Linked DNA regions of Coturnix japonica. The protein of the gene in region 1 interacts with the protein of each later gene in a pairwise test. Links are inferred from orthologs where the notes say so. Each region holds a gene or a part of one and is shown on either strand. Other genes may lie near its edges.

Region 1 (3,751 bases):
ATGGAAAGTCTGTGTTTGTAAAGCAAAGGTGAGGAAAAAGGATGTGTGGGTGGGAAAGTCCCTCTGTGCAAAATCTACAATGTGTAAGTAATGCATGAGGCCCCAGGGAGAGGCTGCCTGAAGGGGATGCTGGGGCACTGGGCTACAGCTCTCATCTCAGTACAAGCTCCTAAATATCACAGCCACTGCTGGCCTAAAACATGAAATACCAAGGGAGTCCCACAGCCATGCATTTAGCAATGAATCTTGTGGAGGTGGTATTTCAGTATTTTTAATTAATTATGGGTATGTCTGTTGACAAAGTGGTATCCAGAACTGTGCACAAGCTGCCAGATGCAGCGTGTGGTATAATTAATAACTTCATCAAACCAGGACCTGCTCCTGTGAACGCACAAAGCATTCATCTGAGTCAGCACTTCTCGTGGACATGTAGGTAACAAGGGATGTGCTCAGGGGATGTCCTGCCACTCCAGGGCCCTGCTCTGGAATGTGGACAGATAGCTGTCATCAATTGGGACCTGCAGTGCTGTGCAGCCTGAAGGTGGTAGGTGTCCAGCCCAGAACTGGACACAATATTCCAGATGAGGCCTCACCAGGGCAGAGTAGAGGGGGAGGATCACCTCCTTCGACCTGCTGGACACGCTCTTTTTAATACACCCCAGTATGCCATTGGCTTTTTTGGCTACAAGGGCACACTGATGGCTCATGGTCAATCTGTCGTCCACCAGGACGCCCAGGTCCCTCTCAGCAGAGCTCCTCTCCAGCAGGTCTTCCCCCAGCCTGTACTGGTGCATGCTCTCTGGGAAGGCAAGAACTCAACCCTCCCACAGCCACCACCTCCAGGCACATCAGCCAGTCGGTGTTACTAACTCCGGCCACGCATTTACAGTTTATTGTATGAATGACGAGCCCTTCCCATAACGCTGAAAACATTCCTTGACAAGCAACGGCCGCAGCACCCAAGGGCACAAGCAGCGTCGCAGTGCCCGGTGGCAGCGGCCGCTCTGAGGGGAGGAGGGTTCGAAAGGGCTGACAATAGCAGGACACGGGGAAATGGTTTTAAGTTAAAAGAGGGAAGATTTAGGTTGGATGTTAGGGGGAAGTTCTTCACTAGAAGAGTGGTTAGGCCCTGGAACAGGCTGCCCAGGGAGGTTGTGGATGCCCCGTCCTTGCAGGTGTTCAAGGCCAGGTTGGACAGGGCCCTGGGCAACCTGATCTAGTAACTGTGTGTGTTTGGTGGCCCGGCCGGGCAGGGGGGTTGGAACTACACGATCCTTGAGGTCTCTTCCAACCCGGGTCATTCTGTGATTCTGAGGGACACGGCGGGCGGCGCATGCGCGCTGAGCGGCGGAAGGTGCCGGAGGCCGCCTCCCCGCCTCCTCCCGGCGCGGGGCGCGCATGCGCTGTGGCGGCGGCCGGGGCGAGCGGCGGCGGTGGCGGCGGGGGGAGCTTGGCCGCGCTGTCGCTGTCCCTCTCCCTCCGCGCGCGCCCTCCCGCCATGTTGTTGTGAGCCCCTCGCGGCCGAGGGGGGGGAGGGGAGGCCGGAAGGAGACGAGCCGACACGAGCGAGCGGCGGGGGGCGGCGGGCGGCCGGCGGTGTCCCACGGCCCGCTCCGGCTCCGTCGCGGCGAACGGCGCCGCCAGCCAGACAGCCCGTGAGTAGCGGCGGCACCGCGCGGGGCGTTGGGCCGCGGGAGGGAGCGGGCCGGCCCCCTTCCCCCGTTCCTCCAGCCCCCTTTTGTCTGCGGCGAGGGAGGGGAGAGACGGAGAGAGGGCGGGAGGGGGGCCATGTTGTGGCGGGGCGGCGCGGGGCCTGCGCGGCGGGCTGGCCGCCTTTGTGTGCTCGCGGCGCCGAGGTGGGAGCGGGCGGCGACGGCGGGAGGGGCGGCGGGTGGGAGCGGGGCGGGGGCTTTGTTCGGGGAGAGCCGGAGCGAGGCGCTTTGTGATGAGCGGGGAGAGCGGCGGGAAGGAGGGCGGGACGAGGCGGATTGGCGCTGCTTCCGCGCCGCCGGGGCTCGGGCTGTAATTGTGTTCGGAGCCGGCAGCGCTAACACAACTTGGGCTGGGCGGCCGCTGTCGTGTGGGGATGCGATACTGCGCTCCCCCAACCCCCCCCCCCGTGCCCGTTCTGCCGGCCGGTGCCGTGCGGGGCTTTGTCCGCCGCTCCCTGCGCTGTGTGAGCCGTGTCGGTCACTGCACAACGAGGGAAACTTTTTCCGTCCGCCTTGTCGTCGAACAAAGCGCTCGAAGATCTCTTTTAGTTTCTCTTTTCTTCTCTTTGTTGCCACCCGGTTGAGGTGAGGCTGTGTGCTGCGGGTGTGTGCCATACCGATATGTTTTATGTCTACTTACCACCTCACGTTCCCATTTTCATTGATAGAACGTGCTGTTTTGGTACGTTCAGCCATCTCTGGGGCCAAAGCATTGCCAACATATACGGCTGTACCGACATGCAGAATTATTTGCCACCTCCCTGTGACCCTCAGCTCAGTGTGCGCCATGTGAGCACAGACGTGTTGTGTTGGTGGGAGAAGGAGGCGTGGAGCAGGAGAGAGGTGGGAATTCTGTGCTGTACGTTGGGTTGTGTGTGTAGGAACGGCACCGAATCACCTGACAGCTCTCCTAAGTGTTCAGAGAGTTCAGGATCTGGAATTTGGCCCAGCACAGCGGTCAGTAGGCAAATGCCTGTGAGAAGCTGCTTGATAGTGAGCACCTTAATACCCAGATGTTAAACCAAGGGAAGCATATAGGATTCAAATAGGGTTGTTGGTATTTTTCCGGCATTAGTTGGGAATAGCTTTTTTTTATTAACTTCTGTAGTATCGTTTCGCTACTTAATGTTTTTCCCCGACGTTTGTGGTGTTGACACAGAGCTGAGGTCACTGTAACCGTATCTGATGTCGCGGTTGCTCCCGCACGAGGCTGTTGGCTGGAAAAGTTGGACGTGCCCATGTTGCAATGAGAAGTTATCTGTGCACCGAGGAACCGTGTGTTAAACGTTATGTAGGACTGTGGTGGATATTTGTGTAACAATGTGTTACACTGATGTGAATAATCCAGTGTTTGTTTGTTTGGTCTGAAGTTACCATCCAGTTTTAAGGTATGTTACCTCTTGCATCACAGAGTTGCTGCCAAAGCTGTCAGTCACAGCTGATAGACCTTAGTCAGAGAATCATAGAATCACCCAGGTTGGAAAAGACTTTGATGATCGTCAAGTCCAACCGCAGCCTAACCAGAACCCTAACAACCCTCCACTAAATCATATCCCTGAGCACCACATCCAAACTGCTCTTAAACACAACCAGGGATGGCGATTCAACCACCTCCCTGGGGAGCCTATTCCAGTACTTAACTACCCTTTCTGTAAAGAAGTTCTTCCTAATATCCAACCTCAACTTGCCCTGGTGCAACTTGAGGCCATTTCCCCTCGTCCTGAAGTTGTCTTTTTGCTGCAGGTCTCCATGCACACAAGTCCCAATGGAAATGAAGGCAATGTCAGGCTGCCCTCTTGGACTTCACTCTTAGTTTTCACCCACTTTATTTTGAGGTTTGTTTTCAGGTATCTGGAAGTCATGCAGCTTGTTGCCACGGAAAGCACATAAAGGAGATTTGGGGGTTTATATTTGTAGTTCCCTAGTTCCTCAATCGTACTAAAAGGCTGATAGCACTTTGGTTCCAATAGATATATGTGGAGATCACCACGTATCCAAGGAGAAGTAGTTTTTACCTGCAGAAGTTGTGAATATCACAG
Region 2 (3,651 bases), on another chromosome or scaffold:
AAATAGGTGCTAGGGGTTGTAAATTATTATTAGGTTTCAAAGTATCAGTAACCTCAACTACATCAAAAGGTCTGCCTATCTGAAATAGGGATAATGCCACACCAGGTGTAAGGAAGAGATTATTAATACTTTGGGATGTCTTAATACAGAGAAATGAGCTCTACTGAGGTGGTCAAAGTGGTTTTTATCTACAGGAATGGCATGTACCTAGAACCATTTATTCAGTTGAGAAGATGAGGAACTGGAGTTTCATCTGCCTGTGGTGTATTTCAGTTCTTGCAAATATCTTTGTGTAGCATTTGAAGTGTGTTTTAGAGTAGGGAACATGTGGCATCAGCAGTAGGAAATGGAATTGTGTGTAGTCAATGTGAACAAATCATAAGCTTTGCTTGCTTCTTGAGCATTTCAGGCTTTTGATTGGGAAGGTGATGGAATTTATTCATTGGATAATCAATTCACAGTAAAGAATTGAAGTATTTCTTGCTTGCATCTGAAAGGAATCGTGTAGAACTTTGAGCTGAATAATGTTGAGGTTCTCCTTGTAAGTTGGGTGGTGGCAACAGTGGTTGTGAAGCTTCCAGCTGGGCAAGGCTGCTTAGTGTAGCCTTGCATGAGTCTAGATCTGACATCTTAACCTCAAAGAAGAGTTGGTTCAAACTTATCTATATGAATGCTCCATTTGCACTAAATACTTGTAAGTAATTGGGAAGATGCTACTGACATTTCTGGTCTCAAACTGCATCTATGGGAAGATGAAGTCTTACCTAGAAGCGTATTATAATGTGACTGAAATATTTCTGTTTAACCTTTTCAGTCTGCAAATGCGGAAGCCCAATGTGGAAGTATCTCAGAGGATAACAGCCATTTGTCAACAACCTGCCAAGGATATGTTTTACCAGAAGGAAAAATCATGCCAAATACAGTCTTTGTTGGTGGAATTGATACAAGGGTATTTCTATACTTTCAATGTTTAAAACAACGTGTAATGTGCTCCAGTGGGAAAGAAATAGGAATTTTAACTTCTGGAGGTCTTTAATTGGGTCTTTACCATTCTTGAATTAATACACTGTGTTAAGAGAACTTCGAAACAGACCAATAAGATTTTCCTGGAATACTTGGAGATGGGTTTAAAAATAGTATTTGTTGCTTTAAACCAATTGTAACAGTTTACTGTGCGAAGTAGTTCAAGACTTTGTTTCTTTTAGATGAATGAAGCAGAAATTCGAAGTTACTTTGAACAATATGGTACTGTGAAGGAGGTGAAAATAATCACTGACAGAACTGGTGTTTCCAAAGGGTGAGCGCAATGTCATTGGTTACTGCTTATGTAGTAAAGGAATTCTAATATAATGATGTCTGTTGTTAGGTTGTTGCTCACTTACGATGCTCAAGCCTTTCAAATTAAGGTGAATTAAAGTGAAGCATGTAAAATTAGACTGATCTGAAATCTTTGTAATCTTACAGTTGAGAACAGGACAGATTTTAGGTTGTTGGTGAACCTGTTCATGGAAAAGTAGTGTTGTTATTTAACCAATGGGAGCAAAGCATAAAACTTAATGGAGGCTTGTGGAGGCTGCTCTTTCACAGGCTGAAATTTATTTATTTATTTATTACGGCCATAGCAGTTAAGTGGCAACAATCAGTGTAGAACCACTAATGTAACAGAGAGAGAAAGAGAGTAGACTTTCATTGGGGACTGCAGTCTTTGGTTGCTCAGGGATAAGTTAGAGGCAACCAAACTGTTTCAGGTGGTGGGTGAAACTTAAGGGATGGTAGAAAGTTACAGAGACATTTCCATTGGATGTATAGAAAGAACTCTGATCTGTAGTGAAGAACTCAAGATGCCTAGGACTCTGCTCAGCGGAGTTCAGAGGAAGCTCTCCCAGCTTTGATATTAGACTTGTTTTGTGAGTAAGACTTCAGCTCTGAAGGTGCACCAGTTCCCTTCTATGTCTGAGCAGATTCCAAAATGTAGCATGGTTTTTATTTTTTTCATAGGCATGTATAGTAATGAGCTGAAAATATTGAGCTTAATGTCTCTTGCCTCATCTTTGTGGTGAATTCTAATGTGTGATTGGCAAGTGTATGTTCTGATTATTGATAAATTGCCATACTCCATTGATTGACACACTCTACTATAGTTCTGAGAATTGTCTCCAATATTCAGGCTTAAATAAAAGATAGTGAAATAAATTTAAAACCTCTTTTGGGATCACTTCCTCCAGTGGTGTAATTATTCCTGTAGTTCCTCCTTTGGTTCAATCCTCTGCAGTAAGTATGGAATTTAGAACATCCTAATTAAAAGAGCTTTTGGCTTTCTGATGCTACTAATATCAACAATAGTACTCACTAGAGTAACGTAAATGGGAGAGTATTGAATCTGGCATTTAATTCCTTTCATTTGGCCCAGTGTGCTGTCGGTCAGCAACAAATGTACTTTCATGCTGAATGATATATTAATGTCCTGTTAATATCAGTGTATGCTCTTTTAACTGTTTCAGTTAAATATATATATGTGTGTGTACATATATATATTTATTTTATATAAATATATATTTTTTTCTTTTCAGGTATGGATTTGTTTCATTCCTGGACAATGTGGATGTTCAAAAAATTGTAGAGGTAAGCTCTTTAAGTCTTAGGCTGTCAGAAGAACCTTCCATATGAAGGCTGTAGGTGTGGTTAGGGGAAACCAGTCCCACTGAGGAAAGTAAAAACAAAAGACTAGAACTGCCCTGAAGTAAACTTGCTTAAATGTTGTTGTGATTTAACCCAGCAGGCTGTGAAGTACCATGTAGTGTTTTCTTCACTGCACTCCCTCCTTCCCAGTGGTATGGGAAGATAATTAAAAACCCAGAAACAACCAAAAGTAGAGCTTGTGAGTTGAGGTGAAAACTGTTAACCAAGAGAATGAAGAGGAAAAATGGGTAACAGTTGTGATAATTGTGTGTGTGTGTCTGTAACTGTTATCCTTTACACACACATATATAAAAAACAAGGGATGCACCCAGCAATGCTCACCACCGACCCAGCAATGCTTAGCTTGTCCCTGAGCAGTGGCAGGCTGCCTGATGAACTCCCCTTTTCATACTTAACTTCTACATGATATCATATGTTACAAAATATCCCTTTAGCAAGTTTAGGTCGGTTGTCCTGATTCTGTGCCCTCCCAGTTCCTTGTGCCTCCTGCAGTGCCGTTGGTGGCAGGGCAGTGGGAGAAGCTGAGGGGAAAAAAAACGCTCAGCAACAGCTGGAAGTGTCACTAAGTGACACTTAGTTTCAGTCAGTGTTGTTTTTTTCCCTAAAACCAAAACAAAGCATCATACCAGACACTGAAGGAAAGCTACTCTGTCCCAGCTGAAACTAAAACAAATACCTGCTGTTGTTGCTGTATGCTTCTTTGTATATGAAGTCAGAAACAAAATTAATGTAGTCCTGGTCTTGGTGCAATTTAAAGTCTTGGATCTGTTGGGAAAATTTGAAGGAATAAAGGTAAGTGGCTTCATACTGAGGCAATGATAAAACAGCAAAGATTGGCATGGATAGTGTGCGTAAAACAGAATGAAACCTGGCAGTCACTAATGAGTAATTTAAGGATACAAGGCTTGTGAAGATCCTCAGTAGATACATGGGTTTAGTGAGAGCATTACA

The links.
Region 2: the proteins of PUM2 (region 1) and DAZL interact in a two-hybrid assay, tested with the Homo sapiens proteins (2 studies listed by BioGRID and IntAct). The link is inferred for Coturnix japonica from reciprocal best matches to the Homo sapiens genes PUM2 and DAZL.

The regions. Positions count from the first base shown.
Region 1 is NC_029518.1:92,782,434-92,786,184, reverse strand, and holds the start of PUM2 (pumilio homolog 2), read left to right. Parts: upstream 1-1,411; 5' UTR 1,412-1,655; intron 1,656-3,751. UniProt on the Homo sapiens protein: Sequence-specific RNA-binding protein that acts as a post-transcriptional repressor by binding the 3'-UTR of mRNA targets.
Region 2 is NC_029517.1:31,523,575-31,527,225, reverse strand, and holds part of DAZL (deleted in azoospermia-like), read left to right. Parts: intron 1-814; coding exon 815-949; intron 950-1,205; coding exon 1,206-1,297; intron 1,298-2,570; coding exon 2,571-2,622; intron 2,623-3,651. UniProt on the Homo sapiens protein: RNA-binding protein, which is essential for gametogenesis in both males and females. Plays a central role during spermatogenesis.